Linked DNA regions of Sus scrofa. The protein of the gene in region 5 purifies or fractionates together with the protein of the main gene of each other region. This does not show direct contact. Links are inferred from orthologs where the notes say so. Each region holds a gene or a part of one and is shown on either strand. Other genes may lie near its edges. The genes, in order: PTTG1IP, VAMP3, SNAP23, NAPG, STX7, VAMP8 and SNAP29.

Evidence for each region.
Region 1: the proteins of STX7 (region 5) and PTTG1IP purify together in Homo sapiens (affinity purification with mass spectrometry; 3 studies listed by BioGRID and IntAct, counting the BioPlex papers as one, with this or other methods). This does not show direct contact. The link is inferred for Sus scrofa from reciprocal best matches to the Homo sapiens genes STX7 and PTTG1IP.
Region 2: the proteins of STX7 (region 5) and VAMP3 purify together in Homo sapiens (affinity purification with mass spectrometry; 3 studies listed by BioGRID and IntAct, counting the BioPlex papers as one, with this or other methods). This does not show direct contact. The link is inferred for Sus scrofa from reciprocal best matches to the Homo sapiens genes STX7 and VAMP3.
Region 3: the proteins of STX7 (region 5) and SNAP23 purify together in Homo sapiens (affinity purification with mass spectrometry; 3 studies listed by BioGRID and IntAct, counting the BioPlex papers as one, with this or other methods). This does not show direct contact. The link is inferred for Sus scrofa from reciprocal best matches to the Homo sapiens genes STX7 and SNAP23.
Region 4: the proteins of STX7 (region 5) and NAPG purify together in Homo sapiens (affinity purification with mass spectrometry; 3 studies listed by BioGRID and IntAct, counting the BioPlex papers as one, with this or other methods). This does not show direct contact. The link is inferred for Sus scrofa from reciprocal best matches to the Homo sapiens genes STX7 and NAPG.
Region 6: the proteins of STX7 (region 5) and VAMP8 purify together in Homo sapiens (affinity purification with mass spectrometry; 7 studies listed by BioGRID and IntAct, counting the BioPlex papers as one, with this or other methods). This does not show direct contact. The link is inferred for Sus scrofa from reciprocal best matches to the Homo sapiens genes STX7 and VAMP8.
Region 7: the proteins of STX7 (region 5) and SNAP29 purify together in Homo sapiens (affinity purification with mass spectrometry; 3 studies listed by BioGRID and IntAct, counting the BioPlex papers as one, with this or other methods). This does not show direct contact. The link is inferred for Sus scrofa from reciprocal best matches to the Homo sapiens genes STX7 and SNAP29.

What each region holds. Positions count from the first base shown.
Region 1 is NC_010455.5:207,493,156-207,497,089, forward strand, and holds the end of PTTG1IP (pituitary tumor-transforming gene 1 protein-interacting protein), read right to left. Parts: intron 3,532-3,934; coding exon 3,357-3,531; intron 2,809-3,356; coding exon 2,762-2,808; intron 2,431-2,761; coding exon 2,384-2,430; 3' UTR 501-2,383; downstream 1-500. UniProt on the Homo sapiens protein: May facilitate PTTG1 nuclear translocation.
Region 2 is NC_010448.4:68,472,741-68,476,720, reverse strand, and holds the start of VAMP3 (vesicle-associated membrane protein 3), read right to left. Parts: upstream 2,801-3,980; 5' UTR 2,644-2,800; coding exon 2,642-2,643; intron 302-2,641; coding exon 220-301; intron 1-219. UniProt on the Homo sapiens protein: SNARE involved in vesicular transport from the late endosomes to the trans-Golgi network.
Region 3 is NC_010443.5:128,886,156-128,890,165, forward strand, and holds the start of SNAP23 (synaptosomal-associated protein 23), read right to left. Parts: upstream 2,801-4,010; 5' UTR 2,709-2,800; intron 1,722-2,708; exon of another isoform or gene 1,665-1,721; intron 1,288-1,664; exon of another isoform or gene 1,137-1,287; intron 423-1,136; exon of another isoform or gene 369-422; intron 1-368. UniProt on the Homo sapiens protein: Essential component of the high affinity receptor for the general membrane fusion machinery and an important regulator of transport vesicle docking and fusion.
Region 4 is NC_010448.4:97,972,175-97,976,462, forward strand, and holds the start of NAPG (gamma-soluble NSF attachment protein), read right to left. Parts: upstream 2,801-4,288; 5' UTR 2,416-2,800; coding exon 2,360-2,415; intron 1,087-2,359; coding exon 1,019-1,086; intron 1-1,018. UniProt on the Homo sapiens protein: Required for vesicular transport between the endoplasmic reticulum and the Golgi apparatus.
Region 5 is NC_010443.5:31,222,905-31,226,404, reverse strand, and holds part of STX7 (syntaxin-7), read right to left. Parts: intron 785-3,500; coding exon 647-784; intron 1-646. UniProt on the Homo sapiens protein: May be involved in protein trafficking from the plasma membrane to the early endosome (EE) as well as in homotypic fusion of endocytic organelles. Mediates the endocytic trafficking from early endosomes to late endosomes and lysosomes.
Region 6 is NC_010445.4:59,190,366-59,194,582, reverse strand, and holds the start of VAMP8 (vesicle-associated membrane protein 8), read left to right. Parts: upstream 1-1,417; 5' UTR 1,418-1,831; coding exon 1,832-1,834; intron 1,835-3,777; coding exon 3,778-3,936; intron 3,937-4,217. UniProt on the Homo sapiens protein: SNAREs, soluble N-ethylmaleimide-sensitive factor-attachment protein receptors, are essential proteins for fusion of cellular membranes.
Region 7 is NC_010456.5:50,498,687-50,502,186, reverse strand, and holds part of SNAP29 (synaptosomal-associated protein 29), read right to left. Parts: intron 2,301-3,500; coding exon 2,104-2,300; intron 1-2,103. UniProt on the Homo sapiens protein: SNAREs, soluble N-ethylmaleimide-sensitive factor-attachment protein receptors, are essential proteins for fusion of cellular membranes.

The DNA.
Region 1 (3,934 bases), on a different chromosome or scaffold from region 5:
CGCCCTCGCCAGCCCGCTGCCCCCTTGTCACGGAGCGCAACCATGTCACCAAACAAGAATCCGGGTGCCTGATGCCCAGTGAGGCCAAAGAGAAGCGTCGGAGTTTGGAGAAAGGTTTACTGCGGGGCTGTGGGGCAGGGGGCGGTCATCCTCAAAACGCCCCCAACTCAGCAGCAACTCGGAAGTGGGCGGGACTGCTCCCCACGCGGGTACCAAGACCCCCAAGCAGGTAGGGCAGAGGGCAGGATGCGTTCCTGGTGGCACCTGTTTCCAGCAGGGGAGCCAAGGTGCACAGGCTCAAAGGCACCTTTTCGCCAGGTGGCGCTGCAGCAGGAAGCCGCGCGGCCCTGGGGCCATTCAGCAGCGGGAGCTCCGTGGGAGGCTGCTCCCGCGGCTAGTAAGGGGTCCAGAAACCCACCTTCGTCAGGACCGCCCCATCCACCCCTGCTCCCCAAGCAACAGCGCTCCCACCACCCAGAAACGAGAGGAGGAACGCAGCGTAGCCAGCAAAAACGTGTATTGGGCCGCTGACTGGAAAGTGGCTACAGATGAAGGCACTCAGGTTACGCGGTTCCTGGAGGCTCCAGGTTGGACTGCTCTTGGCAGCAAGTCGAAGAGCACAGGGAAGCGGCGGTGCCCGCAGCCGGCTCTGTGCCGCGCGGAAGGATGGGGTTTTTATCTCACAACCCACTCGCCTCAGCTCGGCAGCCGCAAGGCAGCAAAGAGGGATTTACACCCAGACTCGGTGTTGACTCGAGTCTCTTACAAAGATTTTTATGAACAAAGAGTAGAAAGGAAAACTCTGCAGGCTGTTACGAAGGACACGGGAATGTCTCTTAACACTTTGCTGCAATCAAATGCCCAAGAAATCAAAGAATAAGACTCAAGAGTCTGTTAAAGGTTGCTTCTTAGTCTGTGAGAAGCCAGGGTCAACCGGTTAGATCGACACAGGGGGTGTGGACAAGGCCTGGCGGGCCGCACGCCGGCGTGTTTGGTCGCTGGGTCCGCGTGGACAAGGCCTGGCGGGCCGTGCGCCGGCGTGTTTGGTCACTGGGTCCGTGTGGACAAGGCCTGGCGGGCCGTCGCTGGCGTGTTTGGTCACTGGGTCCGTGTGGACAAGGCCTGGCGGGCCGTCGCTGGCGTGTTTGGTCGCTGGGTCCGTGCGGACAAGGCCTGGCGGGCCGTGCGCTGGTGTGTTTGGTCGCTGGCTCTGCCTGAGTCCTTTCATGCAGCCGCTCACCTGCCGTCCCAAAGCTCGGTTTCCTCTAAGTCAAAGCAATGTGGCAACTAGAACTGTGTTCAGATTTCAAGGAGGAACCAGTCACTTCATTGTCTGCGAACCTGCCTGGAAGCGCGCAGACCACGGACGGCAGTCACATGTCTTCACTGGAGGGACGACTGCCGCGTCTGGCACCTCGGGGCCACCGCAGATGAGGCCGCCCGAAGGAGATCCACGGAGCTGGCCGGGGGCCGGGTGGTCTGGTCAGCAGGACAACCAGCAGCATCTCTGCACCGCCGCCCAGCCCTCAGCACCCTGGCTCACAGGGTCCCCCGGGGAGAGCCCAGGACACAGTCCCTTCCCGGAGGACCTACCGTCGCACGCGGTGCCCAGGTGAGCACTGAGGACAGGCAGGGAGGGTCTGGGACTCGGGAGAGACTGTGCCCGGGCCCCAGGCCTGCGGTCAGTGGGGCAGAGAAGGGTGCAGGTAAAGCTTCTCAAGTGTCCCCGCCCCTGCACGGGGTGACTGCTGGCCAGAGGGTCCACATTCAGATTTTCCCAGGAAGAAACGCCTCGTGTGCCAGTCCAGATGCTGATTGAAAAGCCAGCCCCCAGGTGGCCTACGCTTCCAAAGGAAGGCTTCGGGTGAAACCTCTTTTTTGTCTTTCTAGGGCCGCACCTAAAAAGGGGAGTTTTAGCGACTGCTTGGTGCCAGCTGGTGCAGATGGACGGGAACCCTCAGCAGACGGCGCCCGGGACACGGCGGGCAATGGAGAGCCGGCTCGGCTCGTCGGGGAAATGACAAGGGCTGGCTGGTCGGGGGTCCCACAACAGACTGAAAACGCACTGCCTTCCGGCATGTGGAGCCGCACCCACCAGGCCCGGGACACAGGGCGCGGTCGGCACCGGCTCCCAGGTAGACTGGGGAGGGGCAGGAACGTGCGGTTTCCTCAGATTAATGACAACACAACCAAAGGCCCTGACAGGCTTAATGTCTCAAGGGACAAAGACAGAAACAGGAAAAAAGAGGACAAAGCTCACAGGCCTGCACCTGGGGGGCAGCTTCCCACGGGCCGCCCCAGGGCCGAGGCGGACGAGGCCGTGGCCGCTGCTGACCCGCAGCCCCGGGCCAGGCGAGGAGACGCTGCCTCGCATGACGCGCCTCTAGTTGTTTTCGAATCTGGCGTACGGATTGTCTTCTTTAAACAAACCTGCAAACCAAAGGGGCTGATGACAAACGCGCGCGGCCGACGGGAACCAGCCCGCACCTCGGGACAATTCAGATGCGGCCGAGAGAGAGCCGGGTGCGCGGAGCAGGCGCAGAGACCACCCTTCACCCCCCGCCCCCGCCCGCCTCCGCCCGGGGACCAGGGGCACCGGACCCCCTGTTCCTACAGAGCCCAGGGTGGAGTGCGGCGTCCCCTCGCAGCAGGTGCCCGGAGGCTGGCTGGGAGGTAAAGGCAGGTAAAGGCAGCGCTCCGTCACGCACCTGCGGCCGGCCTCCCGTGCCCCCGGCGGAAAGGAGAGCCCGCGGACTCTTACCGTATTTTCTTCTGATCTCATCGTGTCTTGACTTCATCTCTGCTCTCCTACAACACAGAGGGCGCTCGCTCAGCACCAAAGGGCAGCACGATTTTACCAGCGGGACCTTTCACTTTGGGCGGCGGGGCCGGGGGTTCACTCCCGCCTCCCGGAGCCAGAGCTGGATGGGGCCGGCCGGCCAGGGCCACACTCCCACTGGACGGGCAGGGGGCCCGGCAGACCGGGCTGCTCCATCACCTCACCCGGTTCGTTTCAATAGAAGCAGCTCTCATGCCCCCACACTGATTTCCTTTAAAGAAAACTAACCCATCAGCAAAGACCTGCGCTTGGTTCGGAAGACGGCAAGGACCAGCAAGGCCCCGGCCCCAGCGGCCTCCCGGCCACTCCACACACACGCTCCAGGGGGCGGCTGGCAGGACATGTGTTGTCACAGTGCTGGCAACACAAGAGGCCAGTTCGGCCTCACGGACAAGAGGCCACAGCGACGCCCTCCTCCCTCTGTGCCTCTGCGGGCTCAGAGCTGGACGGGCACTCAGAGGCCTGGTAGGCACAGCCCTGAACCCACAGGATCCCCGCCCCGTCTTCCGGGCCTCACCGCTCCTCCTGCCGGACCCGCCGCTCCTCGCGCTCCCGCTCCGCCTTCTCCTCGCTCCGGTCGGGCCTGCGGCTCCGCTTCCTCGGGCAGCAGCAGCAGCAGCAGCAGATGGCGACGCCCAGGAGCACGGAGCCCCCGAGCACCGACAGGGTGATGATCAAGGCCTCGAAGTTCACTGCGGGGGGCAGCGGGGTCACCACGGCCCTGCCCCCCGCCCCCGGGACCGATCCCGGCTCCCACCAGCCGCCCTGCGCCGAGGCAGCGGCAGCTGCCGCCCCCCCGCATCCCGCACAGGCCTGACCGGCCCGAGCAAAGTCCACAAACCCAGAGGGAGGAGCAGCGGCGAGCTCAGACGGGAGCCACAGAGACGCGGTCCCGCGGGATGACGGCGTCAGAGCCCGGAGCCCTCCACCCACCGCCCACGGGACACCCCTCCCACCACGGGCAGAGCACGGGCTGCAGCCACCAGACGACCTTGTGACCTCCTGTCCCGACCAAACACTCTTCAAACAAGTTTCTCCTGAGGATTTATAAAGGCAAACCAGTGGCCGAGACGTCCCCAGTCCATCCCGCAGAGC
Region 2 (3,980 bases), on a different chromosome or scaffold from region 5:
TGTGTGATTCAGCGGCAGGAAAACAAGCTTGAAACCAGGAGAGCGTGACTTCTCAGGAGCTTAGATAAGGGTTTTCAAAACCAGGGGCACTTTTTTGTTACACTTGTGAGAGTCGAAATTTACTTTACATTTACACTTTTATGATACTTTTTCTAAACAGAATTATTTCCAAAGCCTTCCCATCTTGGCTTAAAATGCAACAACATTGGAAAGCAATACCTCGTCCACTTGATTTTGTGTCTGCTGAAGTCTTCTGTTGCTGCCAGCGGCAGCGCTGGAACCTGCAGGCGCACCTGTCGACCTGAGGTAAAGGCACAAGCATGGGTAAATGAGGATTCCAAACACACTTCTCCAAGTGTGAAGGTGCACTCCAGGACACTCAGTGTTGGGAATTTCAGCACTAAAGCGGAAAAAGGAAATCCTTCCTGCAGTAATGAACAAAGGTTCTAATGCCATTTCTTCTAGTTTCTCTATAATTTCAGAGATTCACCCACATGTTAAAAGTGATCAAGGTCTGAAATGAGATTTAACAGGATCTACTTTGTATCACAAAAGCACCTGATCCTAAGATAAGTAAACTCTATTTTCCCTATTTTTTTGCCTTTTTTTAGGGCTGCGCCCTGCAGCTTATGGAGGTTCCCAGGCTAGTGGTGGAATCGGAGCCACAGCTGCCGGACTACACCACAGCCACTGCAACTGGGGATCCGAGCTGCGTCTGCAACCTACACCACAGCTTGTGCCAACGTGGGATCTTTAACCCACTGAGCGAGGCCAGGGATTGAACCCACATCCTCATGGATCCTAGTCAAGTTCATTAACCGCTGAGCCCCGAAGGGAACTCCTATTTTCCCATTTTTTATGACTTGTTTGAAGGTATAAGTCTACTTAAATGCACTCAGCAATCTTCTGATCTTTTCGCTGTGGCAAAGAATTGTATAAACAATCATAAAATGCCCTTTTCCAGTATGAGGAAATAGATTCACTTAGAGAAACAGAGTTGGGAAGACCCAGATGCCGAGTAGAAGGCACTGGGAGTGGAAAAGGTAAGACGAAGCCACGCTTCTTCTTCGCTAAATAGGTACTTTTTTTTTTTTTTTGTATGTTTGCCTTTTAGGGCCACACCCGCAGCACATGGAGGTTTCCAGGCTAGGGGTCCAATCGAAGCTACAGCTGCCAGCCTACACCACAGCCACAGCAACTCGGAATTTGAGCCTCGTCTTCGACCTACACCACAGCTCGTGGCAACGCCAGATCCTTAACCCACGGAGTGAAGCCAGGGATCGAACCCGTGTCTTCATGGATGCTATTTGGGTTAGCTAAGTGCTGAGCCACAACAGGAACTCCAAAAAGGTGCCTCTTTTAAACCCTCATTGAAAGCTTTATTTTTCCCCAGGCAGACCTTTCACGACCACGCAGGCTAGGAAGTCCTAATTGCTTCCATTACTTGGTTGGCAATGCTTTGATTTTTCATGTATTAATAGAGTCTTGCCCTCTCTAACAGATCACCGACTCCTGTGTCTTACACGTCTCTTCCAGTATCCCAGACAGCACCTAGAGCACTTATCTTGCATATAACAGCCACTGATTCATTGATTCAACAGTTATTTCATATCTATCATGTGTCAAAGACCAATGATAAAGGAGATCCCACCCTTGCCCTCAGAGAGTTTATTGTCTGAGAGATAACAGCAAAGGGCCATGTGTTGGTGCATCTTCTCATTTAATCCCCAAAACTCTTTGAGGGAACACTATTGTTAACCTCATTTTATAGATGAATAGCTTTAGAAAGTTGACACCACTGGCTGCAGTGGCGCCTGTGTTTAGATTAGGTTCTGCATAATTCTACAGATCTGGACTTCACACACCGAGAGCCGGCACGGCAGCTTCAAGGAGGTACATACACTCCGGAGTGGTGTCTCTTGCTCCGTTAGGAACCCTAGGAAAGCACCCATTCCTTTCTCCTCTGGGGTGAGCACTGAGCAGGCTGGAGTGGGGACAGGGGCTCCCTGTGATTTTTGACACTTAAGAGTTCCCTGGATGTTACCACCGGAAACTCCCCGCTTTCAAGGGTCACAACAAGAATGCTTCGGCTTAAAAAAAAAAGAGAGAAGGCCTACGGCTATGCGCCCGAGTCCACTCTGACCCACTCTGACCGCAAGTGCCTCAAGACAGGGCTGAAGGCCCCTCCCTTGCAACTTCCGGAGCCCAACCCAACCCGATAGCGAGCAGGTCTCCAGGACGAGGGCAGTGGCCACAGCTCCCCTCAGTCAACTTGGAACGGGAAGGAGGAGAAAATGGGACGGGGAGGGGCGGAGGGAGGGGAGGAGAAAATGGGACGGGGAAGGGCTTTCCCCTCCGCTGGGAAACACCGGCCGCCCCGCCCTCGCCCCTTCCGCGGCCGCGCGACCGCCGCAGGGCCCTCCGGGGCGGCAGGCAACGCCCAGGGCCGACCCGGCCCGTCTGCAGCTCGTATCCCCGGGGCCGCCCGCCGCCCACCCCCAGGCCTCGGGAGCCCCCGCGAAGCCTCGGCCCGCGTCCGAGACGCTGCAGAAGGGAGCCAGGCCGAGCCGGGCCGGGGTCCCAGCCACTGGCCGCCGCCCCCAGGGCCCGAGGTCGCTCCGTGTCGCCTTGTGTCACTCACATTTCGGCGGCGGCGACAGCGGGCGAGAATCGACGAAGAGGCGCAGCGGGACCTGAGGCGGGGAACCTGGGCGGGGCCAGGCGCAGGCGGCGGTGGCGGCGGCGCGGGGCCGATGACGTCAAAGGGAGGGGCTGACGGGGTGGACGGGGCGTGCGCGGCGGCGAGGGGCGCGCCGGAAGGGGCGGGGCGCCTCGGGGGCGGGCCCGGAGGGCGGTTCCGCTCCCTCCCCCCACGGCCGGCCGCCCTGACCCTGGGGGCCCGGAGCCTTAGTCCCGGGAAAGGGACTGTGTGGGTGGTCGGGGGTGGGGGCGCTTTACGTTATTCTGGGCCCGTGGGTCATTCCTGTGGCCGTGACGGTATCAGTGACAGCCCATGGGCTTCTGCTTAACGTTGCGTCTTACCCAGTGATGCTAGAGACACCGCATTTCCCCAGGAAACTTTTAAAATAAGACCTGAAGCTCCTTCAGGGTATTCGTCAGAGGCATTGATTGGGCCTAGGGTCCCTCTCTTCGTGTAGTCATTTGTGACACAAATATTTGTCATTGCACAGAGCTTATTATAACCCGTTTACAGGAGCCTTCACATCAGTAACTGGGCTTTGTATGGTTCTGTATTTCTGGACCCCCCCAGTAGGGAGTAGGTCCCCAGCTTTTGATTTGGGTTGAGGCCCAGGCACCAATTCAGTGAGTTACTCTGCAAGGTATTAAATTGCTCCTGACATTATTCCTACCACCACAGGCAACTCCTACACTAAACAAACACCACAGAACACCGGGAGGTCAACCGGCAGATTCGATGAGAAATGAAAAAATAAACACCAAACTGTCTGTTGCAACCCTAAATGGGATAATTGGAAAAAGAAATATTGATGTATATTAAAATAAACAGGAGAGTTCACTATATAAAAAAATTAGGAAATACAGTAGAAAATTGACAGAACACTGTAAACTAGGCTATAATGAAAAAATTTTAAATCACTACATGAACAAATAAAAATAGACAAGAAAGCAAGACAGAGGAGGTGAGATTTGAGTTGGATCAAGTGGCAAAAAGGAGAGTTTCCAGGCATGGGAGGAACAACCTTTCATAGACAAAGAAACTCAAGATGGACCTGGTTTGAACAGACCGAGGAGGTGCGGGTGGTGGTGGGACTGGTGCAGGTTAGGGCACAGGTGAAAATAAGATTGAATAAAAGGTAAAGACTAACAAGCAAGGAGAATGGCATGTAAACACAGTGGGCTCTCGAAACCGTTGAAGTCTCATGGATTGCGGCAGATCTGTCACCCAGAACTTGTCCAGCAGTAGCCCCGGGATGGATCAGAAGGAAGAGGGTCCACCA
Region 3 (4,010 bases), about 98 Mb from region 5:
TTTTTTGCCATTTCTTGGGCCGTTCCCATGGCTCATGGAGGTTCCCAGGCTAGGGGTTGAATTGGAGCCACAGCAACGTGGGATCCGAGCCACATTTACAACCTACGCCACAGCTCACAGCAACACTGGATCCTTAACCCACTGCGCAAGGCCAGGATTCAATCCCACAACTCCATGGTCCTAGTTGGATTCTTTAACCACTGAGCCACGACAGGAACTCCAATTGAACTTTAAATGACTGCAAATGGAATCCCATTTCTAATGCTCAATATTACCAAAAGAACAGGAGATGCTGTTTCCTGGCTCCACAATCCACTTCCTCCAATTGTTAGAGGCACTGGATCCATCTGTTCCACACCCCTACTCACCAAGACAAAGAAAAGACCAGTCCTTGTCATCTACTTCCCCGTCAATCTACAGAACTGGAAACAAAACATGGTTCTGGAATGAAAAGTTCAGCACTCTTGGATGCAAGTAACATCATATATTATAAATGCTAACATATACATAATTAGAGTACAAATCCAGCTAAAAATCAGATTTCCAGAATGTTCAAGAAATAGATGAGATCCTGTTGTGGCACAGAAGAACTGAATCTGACTAGTATCCATGAGGATGTGGGTTTGATCCCTGGCTTCACTCAGTGGGTTAGGGATCTGGCGTTGCTATGAGCTGTGGTGTAGCTCACAGACATAGCTCGGATCTGGCGTTGCTGTGGCTGTGGCATAGGCCGGCAGCTGTGGCTCTGATTCCATTCTGACCCCTAGCCTGGGAATTCCTTATACTTTGAGTGGCCCTAAAAAGCAAAAAAAAAAAAAAAAAAAAAAAAAGGAGAAATAGCAACTACAGGAGGAAAACAAAACAAAGGCAGTTGATTTCACAAAAATGTCAAAGAGTGAACATCCTTTTTTTCCCTTTTGCTATTCTAATCTACTTTCATCTGGTTTGTTAGAATTATGTCACAACAATGAATGCCATCACAAGGCTCACAGAATTTTGGAATCTTCTGCCCTTAGAGTTTAGATAATCCAATCTTCATTTTATTTAAAAAAAAGAGGCAATTAGGCCCAAAGCACTATTTTCCAAAGCGCAAAGCAAGAAAAAGAAATTTTAGTTGTTATTTAAGCAATACGTACGTGCTTAGTAGTTAACATATTTATTACTTTGGAAATCTTTTATGATGGTGGTATGGTTCATACCAAGGGAAGTAACAACAGCTGTCCCATCAGCAACAGGGTCTGTTTTTAGGTTTGTTTGTTTGCTTTCTTTTTGGTTCAAGGGTGGGTTCTGAATGATAAAAAGATGTGACCTTCAGTTCAGTGAGCTTGTTACTAAAGCTAATTTAGAGTAAAAGAAACAAATACTAAGAAGCATTCAGAAATTCTGTTTATAGGAAAGAGTGTGTAATATTGTTAAAAACATAATGACACAATAAGCCATTCCTATTCTGGAACTAAGATAATAGCAATTCTCTAGGGCATATTTACATGTCACAAGCACCTAGAAAAAGATCCCTAGCAACACTGATATCTAAGTTGTGGGTTAAGTTACATGATCATTTAATTTACTTTCACATGGCCTGTCAAAGGAGCATGGTCATATAGGAAGAGGGTTTTCTCCTAATATTTGTTAATATTTATATGAAAGTGTTTTTTTCTCATTACCTCTTTCCAAAGGAATGAAAGGCAGGTGATTAGTGGATGCCTTAGGAATCAAATTTGCTGGTGGAAGAAATAATATTTTAAAATTTTACTATGAAATATTTTAAGTTTAAATGTCAAAGTATTCTTGCTAAAGATGTCTCATGAATTTCAAGCGTGGTATCTTTCAGGCTAACCAAGAAAGTGGAAGAACCATTTCCATCTGGCCAAACCTGCAGGATTTCACCAGAACATCTGCAAACCAGTTTTAAGGTCCCAGGGCAGATGGAATAATATCACTCTCAATTCTTGAAATACCTTCTACTAAGAAGCTACATTATTTTCAGGAAGCTAAGGCAACACTGTCATAAGCTGCCAGTATCCATAATCGCCTCCAGCCCTCCCCAAAGGAGAGGGCAAGTAGCAAAAGGCAAAATTTATATTCTCTTCTCATCTTCTTTTCCCAATTTTGACGACTTTCGTTGCCTCTGACCCCCATCTGCCTTGTCTAGCATTGTGGTGACTAATGATGAAAAAAAGTTCCAGGTGAAACAGCACTTTCCAGGACTTCCCCACCACCACCACCATTTACTCCGTGGAATTTTACTTTTAATAACTCTTTCCTTCGTTTGTCTTCAGTGAAGCCGCGAGCCAAGTACAGACTTTCCTAGAGAGCATGGACTCTCCAATGCCATGAATCTCAGAAACCTTTTTCATACAGGTAGTTGAAAATTAATCTGATCACTGTGGCCACCATAAAGTCTATTAATCCCGACAACTGCGAGGGTGAGAAGTCAGGGAGTGGGAGTTTACCTCTGCTAGGTTTCAAGGAAAGTCCGGAGAACCAACATCCCTCCACCCTTCCTCCTCTGACCCCTAGAGAGTCTCCAGGAGCCTCGCGTCTTCGAGCCCGGCCGGACCGGCTCAGTTCGGGCCAGAGCGCCCCCTCCTCCCCTCAAGCCCGACCCCACCAGTTTTTCAACTGTCACGATATACACTTTCTCCTTGGGATTATGAACCCAATCTTCACGGCAGCCAGCTCCCTCAATCCCACTCCTGGAGACTCACCAAGCAGTTCCGGCCACTCCTCTCCGGCCGCAGCAGATCGGACACCCGCAGGCCGGACTCTCCAACTGCTCTCTTCTTGCGCCTGCGCGCGCCGAACCTGCGCGCCTGCGCGCTCCTCCGGCGCGGCGGGCGCGGACACACCCCTGCAGCTGGAGCCAATCACCCTGGTGTGGGGGCGGGGGGGCGGTTTAAATCTCCCTGCCACGCAGGCGAAGAGTCTGGGGACTCACCGGTTAACCCGACAATTCGGGTCCCGCCCAAGATGGAAAGTGTTTATGCAATAAACATTTACCGAGGGCAAACCGTGTACCAGGCAATGTACGAGATGAATGTTGAGGAAGAGAAAACGAATAGAATGCCTCCCCGACCTTTGCCTAGACTGGGACATAGATATGTAAACAAATTGTAGTGGACAGAATATAGTGCTTGGAATATGAAAAATCCGAGGCGCCGTTGGGGCACAGTGAACAAAGCGCTTTATTCTTAGGGTATCTGGAAGAGTTCCCGGAGGAAGTGACTTTTGAATCGTGAAGGCTAAGTAGGAGTTCCCCCGGAAATTTGGAATGGAAGGAGATAGGAGTTTCCAGACTGTGAGAACAGAGTGTGCCAAGAACAACATAACACCTTCTGGAAATTCCTTGCAGTTCATCCTACTTGAGAGGCTTAAAGCGCGCCGCCTTCCGGTGAAGGGGAGAAAGGGTTTTTAAAAGTTGGCAATGATGTAGTTTCTGCTGTGACTCAGTGGGTTAAGGACTTAACAGTTGTCTCTGTGAGGATGCAGTTTCAATCTTTGGCCTGGCTCAGTGGGTTAAGGATCCTCCCATCTTGCTGCAGCTTCACAGATGCCCCAGGAATCTGGAGCTGCAGGCTGCAGCTTCAGCTCCTATTCAACCCCTGGCTTGGGAATTTTCATATGCCACAGATGCAGCTGTTAAAAAAAAAAGTTGGCAATGATACTACTACATGTGAAATAGATAACTAATAAGGACCTACTGTATAACACAGGGAATGATACCCAACATTTTGTAATATATATATCTGAATCACTGTGCTGTACTCATGAAACTAACATAACATTGTAAATCAATCATACTACAATTTTTTAAAAAAGTTAGATCTTAGAAGATCTTGCATTTTTTCACTTTACCATGATCACTGAGAATATCAAAAGATCTTAAGCAGGAGTTCCCAACGTGGCTCAGTGGTTAAAGAATCCGACTAGGAACCATGAGGTTGCAGGTTCGATCCCTGGCCTTCCTCAGTGGGTTAAGGATCTGGCATTGCAGTGAGCTATGGTGTAGG
Region 4 (4,288 bases), on a different chromosome or scaffold from region 5:
ATGCTGTTATTGCTGATTAGTGTCATCTTACCTGATTTCTTTTTTCTTGGTGACATACTAACACTAAATGCGAGGCTAACAAATGTGATCAAGGCTACTGCTGAAACACAGTAAAATGTGTTCAGGGTGTTTCAAAACTGTATTATGCTTTATACCCAAATAATCACGGATATGCTGAAAGCTATCTCCCATAACTTAAAATGCTAAGTTTTTAATAATTCTCTTTTGGTTGCAAATTCCAGATCATTTTTATCTTACATGCATATAAACATATTAATATATGCCTATAATGTAACACTTCATAAACATTCATCGGTGCACCTCCGTGGAAGGGTCAAAAAGAACAAGAGCCAAGCCACGGCATGCAGCTCTACTGAGAATGAGGCTAAGATGTTTTAAAAAGTCAATGAGAAAAATCTTCAGGGAGTTCCCTTTGTGGCTCGGCAGTTAACACACCCGACTAGGATCCAGGAGGATGCAGGTTCGATCCCTGGCCTTGCTCAGTGGGTTAAGGATCCAGCATTGCCATGAGCTGTGATGTAGGCTGCAGACGTGGCTCAGATCCAACATTGCTGTGGCTGTGGCATAGGCTGGCAGATGTAGCTCCGACTCAACCCCTATGCTGTGGGTGAGGCAGAAGGAAGGAAGGACAGAAGGAAGGAAAAGAGAAATAGAAAAAATCTTTCAAAATAACAGGTAGCAGAAGAACATGACAAAACTCTCAGAGATAGTATGAACTGAATGAAGTTCAAGAACATATAAAGGATGCTAAAAGCGCAGCTGCATCCCCTGCTCCCATCCTGCCATCCCAGGAGAGGCAGAGGCCACTGAATCTGCAGCTCACACTCAAGACATCTGAAAACAAGTGGACAAGTGCAAGGATTCAGGCAGTTTCGTTTTGTCTTTTAAACAATTAAAATGCTACAGGATGCGTTAGGAGGAAGAATTATACCGAGATGAAGTGAGCAGCCCATGTCAAGATTACACACCACAAGGACTGGGCTACAGTCACTCATACCTGCTTTTCCATATTCAGAAGCAGCACTGTCATAATCTGGCTTCCATTTTAAAAAACCAGTTTTCAGGCTAAAAGGAAAAGAAGACACAATTAACACAAGTTACCAACCATGTTCGTTCATAAGTAAGAACCCTGCTTGTAAGCACCTTATAGGTCATTAAAGGGGGCAGGGGACCATGGGCCAATCACATTCCTAAGAACCTTGCTTGTAAAGGCTCTGATGGGCTCATTAAAAAGGGGGGGAGGGGACCATCCCTACAAAGTCACCATCTCACTCAGCTCCATTGAAACTTACTGATAATCACATACAACCTCACTACCTTCCCCTCCCATTGTCACAGACACAGTTGTCCCCCTTTTGAAATGTCTGTCCAAGTAGAGTGGAGGGTCTTCCTGCACGGTCCCCAGACTAGCAGGAGCAGCACCACCTGGCAGCGTACAAGAAAGTGTAAGTCACTGAGCGAGCCCCAGCTCTACCGAACCAGACACTCTGGAATAGCGGCGGCAATCCAGGGTGTAAAAAGCCCTGAGAAGTATTAAAGCTTGAGAAGGGCTGAAGCACATAAGTAAGCAGTGGGACCTGTGAGACTGCAGCACAGGAGAGGCCAGAGAATGACCGAGGAGTCATCAGCAGATGCCACACCAAGGGCCCCATAAGTTTCTCTAGGAAGACTGCAGAGAAAAGCCAGGAAGACTGCAGAGAAAGGCCAGAAAGACTACAGAAAAGACACTCAGGGAGACAGAGGGAGTCAGCAAGAAAGACTCCAATGAGCCACCAGGGGACAGGAAGGACCACCTGAAAGACGAGGACGACTGGAAGACAGAAGCTGCTTTCCAGGATTCCAGGATTACTTGGCATCTCAAACGCCACACCAAAGTACAATCCGATTGAATCCTTATCTAACCTGCCCTTTCTGCAATACTTTAATTTCAGAATAATTTCAGGCTTACAGTTTAGTGACTGTCAAGCTTAGGTGTGCTTACAAATTGCCCAATGAACATCATCTTTAATTCTAAACTTCAGTTAGTGACGACCTGCTTACGACTCTGCCAGCTTCCAAGGGACCAGGGGACACCTTAACTGAGGAAAAAGAGGGGCTACCGGCCTAGGTGGGGGGAGCCCCCAGACTGCCGGGCTCCGGGGTACCAAAGAGCCCCCACTGCCCCCATCACCCGAGCCGCGACAACTTCCGGGTCGACGGTAGCGCTTCCGGGCCAGCGCCCACCCCCCCAAGCCCCGCTCGCCCGCCCCTGCGCCCCCCGCGCGATGCTAACTCGGACAGCTCTCGGAGGGGCCCGGCCCCGGCGTCCGGCCTGGGCCGCGCTGGGCCTCTCACTCACTATTTCTCTGCTTTGGCGAGGTGCTCCAGTCCCTCGTTTATCTTCTGCGCCGCCATCTCCGCGGTGCGGCCCTGACGTGGAGGCCGAGAGCCCGCCGAGTGGGCGTGGGAACGCCGAGGAGGAGGCCGGGACGGCGCCGCTGCCGCTCCACCGGGGCCTGCAGGGCTCAAACCAAGTGCGGCGAAGCGGCCCGGGAGCCGCGCAGGAAACGCCGCGCAGGCGCAGAGCGCCCGAGCTGGCCGCTAGCTTGTCTCCATGCGCAGCAGTGGTGGGTAGTGAGGGAGGTTCTCTCATTCATTCGTTCGTCAAGCACCGGTTTGTCGAACACCTACTATGCGTCAGACACTGTCCTAGTGCCGGCAGGTCGCCAGGGAGAACGAGAGACCGAGTCCGGCCCTCGTGGATCTCGCTTCCCGCTCCCTTGAAAGCGCATTGGCACTGCGATCCGTGACCGCATAGACTCGTTTATTTTTTACTACATGTGCGCCCCTACCGCCTGTCGGTCACCGTCAGGTAACCCCTGACAGATGCTCAGAAGTGAGCACTCCGTGACGTTCGGGAGCGAGGTTCGCCAGCAAGGGTCTGGCAGAAATAACAGTAACTCCGTGTCCGACTCACATTTCGTGGGGTTTCAACACCTGCAAGGTGATTCTGCGATAGCATTGCAGCTCCTTGGTCTCCACCCAACTAGCTCATACTCTCATCCCCAGGATCACACCCTCGACCTTACCAGTCATGGGTAACTAATTACTAGTGACTGTGCCCCCGACGCATCACTTTCAAGCAGACACTTTATTTCTTGCTGTCTTCTAGCTCTGATAATTTTTCACCTTCAGCAGAACTCCCACCTCTTCCTGGCCTCTGCTCCTGTTCACACCTCCCTGTTTACCCATTATAAGCTCCATGTTCCATCATTGTAACTACTCTTCTGCGTGTGCATCAGCCTCCCTGGCCCTCTTCCTTTCTCCTTGTATGGAAAAGCCCCTGTTCTCTACGGACTGGAACTGCTCTGAGCAATTGAAAGTGGTTGGAGAAAAACAAAGCAGCAACATGCTAACGTGACCCGTCCCTGGAATCTGTGCTCATACATGTCAAGGAGGCCCTGGTGCAGCTAAGTTCCTGAACTGCATTTCACTGGACCAGTCATCCAAGGGCGAAATCTCTTCCTGGACCATCTTGGGCCCTCTAGGTGTGACTCTGTAAACTAGACTGGGCAAGATGGAGGAACAGGGGGAAAAGCACACATTTATTTAACAGAGGTTTTGTGCGACACGAGAGCCTTTATAAGGAAATGAAGACCCGCAAAAGTGGTTACTCCTGTGTTTTTATGCTTGCTGTGCTAAAGGCTGGAAAGTCCTGGGAAAACACGATGGGACAAGGGCAGGAGCCCAGCACAGTGACCTGTGGAAACTAGCAAGGCCTTTGTTCTCACCACCTTCAGCACCTCTGTCTTCAGAGTGTTCCTGTCCTCCAGGTACAGGTAGCTCATCTCTCACATAGGGTATATGGGGTTCGGGAAACGCTGTCCCCAAATACGGCACCTTGGCACATGGAACCCAGCAGAAAATCCACAGTCTAACTGGTCCTTCAGTCATAATTTCTTTATTAAGGCTCCCACATCACCTAAAACTTCTGTTCAGTGAATCTGTAGTCTTTCCTCCTATTAATCTGTCTGTCACTTTCATGTTCAGACCCAGCCAGGGGCCTAAGAGGGTTGAGGAGAACTTTTTCCTCCCTTACAGGGTCTCATGGGAGAAGGGAGGAATCAAACCTGCCTGCACCTGCTCTTTCTCAGGTTCCCCCAGCTGAACCCCTTCAGTATGCCAAGGAGCCGTACTTTGGGGTAGTGCGTTCTGAATCCCACTGGGACATAATGCCTGCTGTCATGGAATGTGTGATCTGTGAGGGGGCACAAATGTTAAACCTAGT
Region 5 (3,500 bases):
TTACATCTACAAGGGAGTTCTTGTTCTAATATTGTAGGTCAATTACTTTAGGTAATAACAAAATTATATCATAACCTGATAAGCAAAGAATTCATTAAATATTCTCAAGTGCTAAATAATAATTATTATTCGATTAAAATGTAAAGTAGTCTTGGAACCTCTATATTAAGGAACAATATACTCGTGATAGTTTCCAGGGGAGATATATAATTAGATTAAGTTAGAATTCCACTCTAACTTATCCTTTCATTTATTTTCTCCAGGTATATATTTTCAATAATTATATGTATATTCACTCTGTTCACGTCCATCATCTTCACATAACCTAGGAGGAAAGACTTCTCTACACCAGCATGAACACGAAGTAACAGCCTCATGTTCAAATTAGGATCAGACCCCTAATCTTTTCTGACAAAATGTTTATTTTTACATAATCTGTAATCTTTTGTTTGACACAGAATAACCAGAGTAATACACCATTATCATACTTCTTAAAAATTAAGCAGAAACACCTGAAATTAAATATTTCAATACTGATCTCTAAGACTTTCACAGGTCTTTATGACTCAAGAAACACCCATGTAGTCTCTTAAGATATTTTAGAGAATACTGTGTTCCTTTTTACAATGCCATTTTAAATACTTACAGAAACTCTGGAACTGGCTCTTACTCGAGCAACAAATTCTTTCTCTTTCTCAGCAGCTTGCCTCTGCACCTTCTGAAAGTTTGTCAGTGACGTTGTGAATTCAGCCACTAAGCGGTCTTTCTGTATTTTCCTTTGACGCTAGAGGAAAGGGGGATTTAAAAAAAAAAACAAAAAACAAAAAACACCTGATAGAATCAAGCTGTGAAATTCTACAGCATGTGCAAAAGTTGTTGGCTCTTTATTTAATTCTGAAAATTTAATTTTCAGACTAAACTTTCAAGACTAAACCAAGATGAAATAGAAAAGATGAATGGACCAATCACAAGAACTGAAATTGAAACTGTGATTAAAAAACTTCCAACAAACAAAAGTCCAGGACCAGATGGCTTCACAGGCAAATTCTATCAAACATTTAGAGAAGAGCTAACACCTATCCTTCTGAAACTATTTCAAAACATTGCAGAGGAAGGGATACTCCCAAACTCATTCTATGAGGCCACCATCATCCTGATACCAAAACCAGACAAAGATACCTCAAAAAAAGAAAACTACAGGCCTATTTCACTGATGAACATTGATGCAAAAATCCTCAACAAAATCCTAGCAAACCGCATCCAACAGTACATTAAAAAGATTATACATCATGATCAAGTGGGATTTATCCCAGGGATGCAAGGGTTCTTCAATATCCGCAAATCCATCAGTGTGATACACCACACTAACAAACCGAAGAATAAAAACCATATGATCCTCTCGATAGACACGGAAAAAGGCTTTGACAAAATCCAACACCCATTTCTGATAAAAACCCTTCAGAAAGTGGGCATAGCGGGAACCTACCTCAACATGATAAAGGCCATATATGACAAACCCATGGCAAACATCCTTCTCAACAGTGAAAAGCTGAAAGAATTCCCTCTGAGATCAGGAACAAGACAAGGATGTCCACTCTCGCCACTACTCTTCAACAAAGTTTTGGAAGTCCTAGCCAGAGCATCAGAGAAGTAAAAGAAATAAAAGGAATCCAAATTGGAAAGGAAGAAGTAAAACTATCACTATTTGCAGATGACATGATACTATACCTAGAGAATCCCAAAGACTCTACCAGAAAACTGTTAGAGCTCATCCACGAATCTGGCAAAGTCGCAGGATACAAAATTAATACACAGAAATCGATGGCATTTCTATACACTAACAATGAAAGAGCAGAAAAAGAAATTAGGGACACCATCTTGTTTACTATCACATCCAAAAGAATCAAATACCTAGGAGTAAACCTACCTAAAGGGACAAAAGACCTGTACTCTGAAAACTATAAGATACTGATGAAAGAAATCAAAGATGACACAAATAGATGGAAAGACATACCATGCTCTTGGAAGAGTTAATATTATCAAAATGACTATACTACCTAAGGCAATATACAGAGTCAATGCAATCCCTATCAAATTACCAAGGACATTTTTCAAAGAACTCGAAAAAAATATTTTAAAGTTTGGAAGCACAAAAGACCCAGAATAGCCAAAGACATCCCGAAACAGAAAAATGGAGTTGGAGGAATCAGGTTCCTGGACTTCAGACTATACTACAAAGCAACAATCATCAAAACTGTATGGTATTGGCACAAAGACAGACATATACATCAGTGGAAGAGGACAGAAAGCCCAGAATTAAACCCACGCACCTACAGTCAACTAATCTATGACAAAGGAGGCAAGAATATACAATGGAGAAAGGACAACTTGTTCAATAAGTGGTGCTGGGAAAACTGAACAGCCACATGGAAAAGAATGAAATTAGAACACTCCCTAACACCACACACAAAAATAAACTCAAAATGGATTAAAGACCTAGATATGAGACCAGACACCATAAAACTCTTAAACCATAGGCCAAACACTCTCTGACATAAACGACAGCAACATCTTCTCAGATCCACCTCTTAGAGTATTGACAAAAAAACCAAAAATAAACCAATGGGACCTACTCAAACTTCAAAGTTTCTGCACAGCAAAGGAAACCCTAAACAAAATGAAAAGACAACCCACAGAATGGGAGAAAATCTTTGCAAGTGAATCAACTGACAAGGGATTAGTCTCCAAAATTTATAAACAACTTCTGCAGCTCCATACCAAAAAAAACCAAACAACCCCATCAAAAAATGGGCAGAAGATCTAAACAGACAATTCTCCAAAGAAGACATAACAGATGGCCAAAAAACACATGAAAAGATGTTCATCATCACTCATTATTAGAGAAAAACAAATCAAAACCACTCTGAGGTACCACCTTACACCAGCCAGAATGGCCATCATCAAAAAGTTTGCAAACAATAAGAGCTGGGGAGAGTGTGGAGAAAAAGGAACCCTATTACACTGTTGGTGCGATTGTAAATTGCTGCAACCACAGTGGAAAACAGTATGGAGATTCCTCAGAAAACTAAAACTAGAACTACCATTTGATCCAGCAATCCCACTCCTGGGCAGCTAGCCAGAGAAAACCACGACTCGCAAAGACACATGTACTCCGATGTTCATTGCAGCATTATTTACAATAGCCAAAACGTGGAAACAACCTAAATGTCTATCAACAGAGGAGTGGATCAAGAAGATGTGGTACATATGCACAATGGAATATTACTCAGCCATTAAAAAGAACGAAATACCGGCATTTTTAGCAACATGGATGGACCTAGAAACTATCATGCTAAGTGAAGTCAGCCATACAATGAGACACCAACATCAAATGCTTTCACTGACATGTGGAATTTGAAAAAAGGATAGACTGAACTTCTTTGCAGAACAGATGCTGACTCACAGACACTGAAAAACTTATGGTCTCTGGAGGAGACAGT
Region 6 (4,217 bases), on a different chromosome or scaffold from region 5:
TTAACATATAAAATTACTGAGATTTACAGGTATTCTCTCATAATAAGTCTTTGAAATCTGTGGGGGTTTTTTGTTTGTTTTGTTTTTAGGGCCACATTCATGGCATATGGAGGTTCCCAGCCTAGGGGTCTAATTGGAATACAGCTGCCAGTCTGTGCCACGGACACAGCAATGCGGGATCCGAGCCGCATCTGCAACCTATACCACAGCTAACGGTAATGCCGGATCCTTAATCCACTGAGCAAGGCCAGGGATTGAACCCGCAACCTCATGGTTCCTAGTTGGATTTGTTTCCATTGCACCACAAAGGGAACACCTGAAATCCGTGTGTGTGTTTCATTTACTCTTAAATCTCATCAGAGTTCAGACTAGCCACATTTCAAATGTTGAACAGCCACTTGTGGTCCAAGGCTACTGTACTAGACAGCAGCAAGTACAGATCAAAGGTTCTGACCTCCCTCTTCTTGGCCACATTGTAGCCTTTCTAAGGATGCTGAGGAGTCCAGGAGCCACATTCTCTGAAAGCAGGCTGTTACTATGCACCAAATTTCAGAGCTGCAGAAGATAATAATCTTATCTAATTGGAAGAAGGTTTCATTATAAATTAAAATTAAGGGTCTCAAAATGCTCCAGAGGTCCAAAATGTATGAGACTCTTTAAAAAAGCATTTGTCAGAGAAACTAACATTTCCCTCTTGGAACTGTTACCTCTTCTGGGATGGGACAGGAATGTTTGTTCCCTTCTGCACGTCCCTGTTATTGTTCTTCTGTCTTGATAAACACCATCCAGGAAGAGTGGATTTTCTCTGGCCTGGAGCCAGGTTGGTGGAAAAATCCTTTGCCCTGGGCCCCTTTTCCTGCTCCATAGGGCAGTCGTCTGACTGTTTCTGACAGGGCTCACCAACCCACATGGTGGCTCCTGAAGAGACGTACATGCAGGACTGTTGAACTCTGGAAGGAAAGGGGGGTTGGTGAGCCATCATTTCCTGATTCCAGCAGTGGGCAGCCCTTGGTTCCAGACACTGTGCTAGGCACATGCTATGTTCTATCCTTTTATTCCTCACCACCACCCTCTGAGGTCAGCGTCAGCACCTGCAAAACCCAGACAGGCAGAGGTTCACTCAGGGTCTGCAGCCTTCTGACACCAGAGCCCAGAATCCCAGCATTCCAGACTCTGGGGGTTTTAGTGCTTTCTACACTAAAACAGACTTGGGAGCAAGGTCTGTCCAGAAAGTGTTCATCTCTGCATCCTGTTCCCATGCGAACAAGGTGCTGAAAGTTGAGTTCAATCTCCAAGAATTGAGGGTCAGATATTCAGGACTTTAGAAAAAGAAGCGGGACTTCCCGCTGTGGTGCAATAGGATTGGCAGCGTCTCTGCAGCTCCAGGACGCAGGTTTGATCCCCAGCTCAGCACAGTGGGTTAAGGATCCAGCGTTGCCGCAGGCTGCTTTGGTCGGCTGGGAATTCCATGTGCCGTGAGGCGGCCAAAAAAAGCGGGAGGGGGAGGAGATGGCTGCCCTTTCTACGTCAGTAAACCTAGGAGGGCTGCCTGATCTTTTTTTCCCTGGTTCCTGATACGTGAGAAGAATTGTGGTGCCAGGGAGCCCTGTGGCTTTAAGCCTAAGCCCTGGCAGGGGAGGAGACTGGGAGGGCTGTGGAGGGTGCCCGCCTACCTGGGGAACCTGCGCGAGGTGTGGCCGGAGCGGCTCGGGATGCGAGGTGGGCGGGGGCGGGCTGAAAGTTGGACAAGCAGGAAGTGAACCGACGGCCGCCCGGGAGGAAACCGATTTAGGCGAGTTCTGCTGCCGCCAGGCCCCAGCCGCTCGGAGACATGGTGAGAGAGCTGGAGACTAAGAAGGGGCTGATTTCAAGCCCAGCCAGAGGGTTCGAGGGGGAGGGCTGGGGATCAGCAAAGGAAAGTTAGTGGCAAAGTCCAGAGGGCCGAGCCAGCGCTGTGGCCTGTCTTCTTTGACAGTTCGTCTGCAAATAGTTCGGAGCTGCCTTGGGCGGGTGTTCCTGCTCCTTCTTCGCTCCCTCCCTCCCCTGACCCCGGAGCCGGCCGGGAGGGGGGCTCCGGTGGGGGTGGGGGAGTCCTAATTCTTCTCCTTCTCCAGCCGGCGGGCCCGCGGGTGTTGTGACATTCCTGGGCAGCGCCTCTGCTGTTCCCGTCGCAGGTTCCAGCCCAGCGGCGGAATCCCCCTTGCCTTTCTCTCTATTCTTGTACAGAAACGCAAAGAATGTGTCTCTCCCCTGAATCCAAGGAATCTAGCTCATCTCCATTAACGTGAGGAAGAGAGCTAAGGGTTTGAAAGTCAGAAGTGGGTTTTCTGTGAGTGTCTCGTTTGGACCCACACCAGAAGTCTAGTGGGTCAGGGAGGGAGTTTCTCCCTCCCTGTTCAAAAACCTTATCATAAAGCCTGGGGATGAGGCATCAGGCCAGGAAGAACTTGCCCTCCATTTCCCCCAACGCCCAGGCTGCTGTTTTTATTTTATACTTGCTTAAGCAGGCAGTGGCGTGGTGCCGGCTCATGACGCTAAATGGTGGGGAAAGCAGAAGTTTGTGGCCCAACGGCTCTCTGGTGGGGCCTTGTGAGGGACTTGTAGCCTGGTGGCTGTTGTTCTGGGTCACAGCCATCAGGCTGCCCAGGAGGTCCGGAGAGAGAGGGAGAGTTGAGCTGGGTGAGGGTGGTCTGCGGGCTGGCACAGGCATTTTTACTGAGGACCCTATGGGATTTGAGAGTTGGTGAGGAGCAGTGGGGCTGTGCACTGTGAAATGCCAGCTCAGCTGTCTCCTGGAACCCTCTTTGAGGAAAAGAAGCAGTGGAGAGGGGTTTGGTAGTGGTATTTGTCATGCACCCTGAGAACCCACAAAGAGGTTTGATTCAATGTCTCCTAGCATGGCTCTTTACCATCTGGGGCTTAAACATGTAGGTTTTTTTCACTGTGCCCTATGGCATGTGGAAGTTCCCAGGCCAAGGATCAAACCCAAGCCTCAGCTGTAACCAGAGCCACAGCAGTGGTAACACCAGATCCTTAACTTCCTGAGCCACTGGGGAACTCCAGATGCTTTATTTTATTTTATTTTTTTGTCTTTTTGCCTGTTCTAGGGCCACTCCCGCGGCATATGGAGGTTCCCAGGCTAGGGGTCTCGTTGGAGCCGTAGCCGCCGTCCTACACCACAGCCACAGCAATGCAGGATCTGAGCCATGTCTGCAACCTACACCACAGCTCACAGCAACGCCAGATCCTTAACCCACTGAGCAAGGCCAGGGACTGAACCTGCAACCCCATGGCTCCTAGTTGGATTCGTTAACCACCGTGCCACAACGGGAACTCCAAAATCCTGTTTTTTTTTAAATCTTTTTATTTTAGGGCTGCACCCTTGGCATATGGAAGTTTGCAGGCTAGGGGTCATATCAGACCTATAGCCGCTGGCCTACACCACAGCCACAGCAACAGCAACGTGGGATCCAAGCCAAGTCTGTGACCTACACCACCACAGCAATGCTGGATCCTTAACCCACTGAGCAAGGCCAGGGATCGAACCTGCCACCTCATGGATGCTAGTCAGATTTGTTTCTGCTGAGCCACAATGACGGGAACTCCTGCATTTGTTTTTTTATTACATGCATACTTAGCAGAAAACCTTCTCTTTGTAAATAGTTCAAGCATTACAAAAGCTTAAGTCCATCTTAGGCCTCCCCCTCCTCTGGCCTCTGAGGCTGAGTCTCAGTCCCTCCACCACTTGGCTTAATTAACCGTTTTGTTGCTGCCCAGGAGGAGGCCAGTGGCGGTGGAGGGGATGACCGCGTGCGGAACCTGCGGAGTGAAGTGGAGGGAGTCAAGAATATTATGACCCAGAATGTGGAGCGGATCCTGGCCCGGGGAGAAAACTTGGACCATCTCCGCAACAAGACAGAGGATCTGGAAGCCACAGTGAGACAATGGGGAGCCTACTGGGGGCCAGAGGAAGAGGGGGAAGGAAGATTCTTGGGGGTTTGGGGATTGGCTGTCTTGGTGGCAGATGTTCAGGAGGGCAGTCTGCCTTTTCACCTGCATTGGGAATTGATGGGAGCAGATTCCCCACTTCTGATTCTGCTCTACTCCACTGATTGGTGCTGGGGTCCAGGGAATGGGTTCAAGGACTGGGGCTGGGGTGCATGGAGAGGGTGGAGGTGGGTGCGGACCCATGGAGGCATTTCCTGAGACAAATGGAT
Region 7 (3,500 bases), on a different chromosome or scaffold from region 5:
GAGTCAAGAAAAGAAAGAAATCTTTTAGAAGGGAACACCACCTCTGCCAGCATAGTCTTTTCCTGGGGTGCCTGTGTGAGAAAATCAAATGCCTCCTCCAGAAAAAAAAAAAAAAAAAAGGAGTTCCTTTCATGGCTCAGCAGAAACGAATCTGACTAGTATCCATGAGGATGCAAATTTGATCCCTGGCCTCGCTCAGTAGGTTAAGGATCCAGCGTTGCCGTGAGCTGTGGTGTAAGTCGAAAGCATGGATTGGATCCCATGTTGCTGTGGCTGTGATACAGGCCAGCAGCTACAGCTCTGATTCAACCCCTAGTCTGGGAACCTCCATATGCTGCAGGGGTGGCTCTAAAAAAACCAGGAAAAAAAAAAAAAAAGGCCTCCACTTTCACTTGCCTGCCCTGGAGCCCCACTGGCCCTGCCTGAGCTTCCCAGGTGGGTGGGCACAGGCCCCATGATGGCCTTGCAGGCACCCGAGCACAGGGTGTGCTTTTTGCTGCCATAGGCCAGTGGCCTGGAAGAGAACATGGACCATGGTGCCTTGCGCAAGCTGGGCACCAGCGTGTTGGAGCACTGGCATTGCTTGCACTTCAAGCCCACACCCTCCCTAATTTCCGCCCTATGTCCTGATCTGGGTGGTGGTCACAAAGGAGTACGCACAGGTAAAGAGTTGTAAGCTCTCCACTAAAGTGTGTATGTGCTTTACCGTACATCATCTGCGCATTAGAAAAAAACAACAAACCTCTGTGTTTCAGAATTAAAGGGGAGACAGAGAGAGAGAGTTACAAAACCTGTATAACATTATATATTTTTTCTGGGTTAATTAAGTGTAAGAAGCTACAAAACCAAATGAATACTCTGATTATGAAAACGTCAAAAAGGGGGAAAAACTAAACTCTTTTTGTCTTTCTAGGGTTGCTCCCACAGCGTATGGAAGTTCCTAGGCCAGAGGTTGAATTGCAGCTGCATCTGTAACCTACACCACAGGTCACGGCAACACTGGATCCTTAACCCACCAAGCGAGGCCAGGGATCAAACCTACAACCTCATGGATATTACTTGGGTTCGTTACTACTGAGCCACAATGGGAACCACAGGAAAAAACTAAATTTTAAGTTTCTGTGTGATGGTAGGTAAGGTGGAGATTTTCTGTAATTCAACAATATCATTTTTATAATAAAAAACAGACATAGTGGTCTAGGATATGACTAGCAGTCATTTGTTTTAGTAGAAAAACATTTCTTCTTCTTCTTCTTTTTTTTTTTTTTTTTTTGGCTTTTTAGGCCCACACCCACAGCATATGGAGGTTTCTAGGCTAGGGGTCGAATCAGAGCTACAGCTGCCAGTTACAGCCACAGACATGCCAGATCTGAGCCACGTCTGCAACCTATACCACAGCTCACAGCAACACTGGATCCTTAACCTACTAAGTGAGGCCAGGGATTGAATCTGCAACCTCATGATTCCCAGTCGGACTTGTTTCCACTGTGCCAAGACAGGAACTCCCCTCTCTTCTTTCTTTTGGCCACACCCATGGCACGTAGAAGTTCCTGGGCCAGGGATCAACCCTGCATGCACCACAGCAGTGACAACACTGGATACTTAACGTGCTGAGCCACTAGGGAACTCCCAGAAACTTATTTCTCTTATCTCTGAACACTTAACATTTACATGCCCATCAAAATTGCAGTATGACTTTATTAGATCTCTAGTGAAGACATTTGGGGAAAATAATCTCTAATTCAAAAATAATAACCAAGGGGCAAAATGGGTTAGGCATTGAAAAGCTGGAGGTAGAGTTTTTAAGGCAAAAATTCTGTGAGGTGAGCCAAGCTGAACTCTTTCTTTCAAATTACCAGTCTCAATCACTGGGGCAGAAATCTGTGGAACCTTTGTAGACTGGACAGCGATGACATCAATGTAATAAGGAGCAGTGGAGAAGGTTTCTTATTTCCAAGTATTTGAGGACCGATTCCTCCCAGTGAGTGACTCTCAGGGTTACCGGGTCCCTTAAAGCCCAGGAAGTGGCCTGAGTCTCAGCCCCCTGGCCCTGCATGAAGGCCCACCTTCTGTTACCTCATAGTAGGCTGAGCAGCCACCCACCTGCTGCTGGGCTCGGGGGCAAGGGTGCCGTTCTGTGTAGGCGAGGTCTCCACAGGTTTAGACTTGAAGTAGTTGACGAGCCCTCCGAACACACTCTTGATGCTGTTGATGTGCTTCTGGCTGGTCTTCAGGTCCTGCTCCATTTTGTCCACCATCTTCTCTGTGCGCTCCAAGGCCCCACGCTGACGGACAAGCTCCTATCGTGGGGGCAGGGGAGAGCGATGGCATGACAGAGACACAGGGCAGCTTGGCCAGCACGAGGGAATGACGAGGTCACCCATGTGCACCTTCCCTGTCTCTCCCTCCCGCCTCACCACTGCTTGCTCTTACTTGCTCTGGGGTTCCTGTCCCCCTGGCCTGGCCTATGAGGGGTCCAGGTGCAGGGCCTGGCAGCAGATCCTCTCTAGCCCCCTCCTCTCCCAGCCATGGGGACCCTGGGGACTTTGACTTGGGTTGTAGTTCCTGGATGTTCCCTCTCAGATACAGCAGTGCCGCTGGGCCACCTGGGCCTCTGGCCCTGCTCGTGTGTATTTCAGAAACTTTGTTCTGTTGTCCTTTCTGGCCCTGTTAGTGTCTGATTCCAGCCCATCCAGTTTCAGCTTTTAAACCTCTAACAACGGCAACCCTGACACAGGACCTTTGCACATCCTCCTTGCTCTGTGTTTAATGTTCCTCATGGCTCTGTTCCTTCCTCATTTGATCCAGCCTCTGCTCAGAGGACACTTCCTCTGAGAAGCCTTCCCGGAACACCTGCTGTGAAGAAGTCCTCTTTCATCCCTGGACTGCCTCCTTGGGCCCTGCTGGCTGTTGCCTACAGGGCCCCTCAGAGCAGCTGCTCCTGCAAGCCTGCCCCTGCCCAACAGACGCTGGAGGACTCTGTGGCCCTGGGGCCAGCCTGGCCTGATTCCTTGAGAGTTGAGACTTCTGGCCGTGGATGTGAACTCAGCACCATACCAGTGCTCATGCTTTTTTTCTGACCATACCTGTGGCATGTGGAAGTTCCCAGGCCAGGGATTGAACCTGGGTCAAAGCAGCGACCTGGGCCACAGTAATGACAATGCTGGGCCCTTAACTTGCTGTACCACAAAGGGACTCCAGGGCTCATACTTTTAAAATCTGGGGCAAACTCCGTTCAGCCTGGTCACCCCATGGTCTGCCTCTCCACCATAAGACTCCTAGGCTCGGATCCTCAACCTCAGGAGGCAGCCCCTGACCTCGGCCGCTTCCCTGTGGCTCTCAGTTACGTTAATAATGCAAACAATCCTTAGATGCTCTCTCCTAACTCCCCAAAACAAAGTCAGGAGCAATTTTACACACATAGCCTAGGAATTTGAAGGATTAAAAACAAAACTATAGGCAATGGGTTTGTTGGAGCCCATTTTTGAGATAAAGATGTC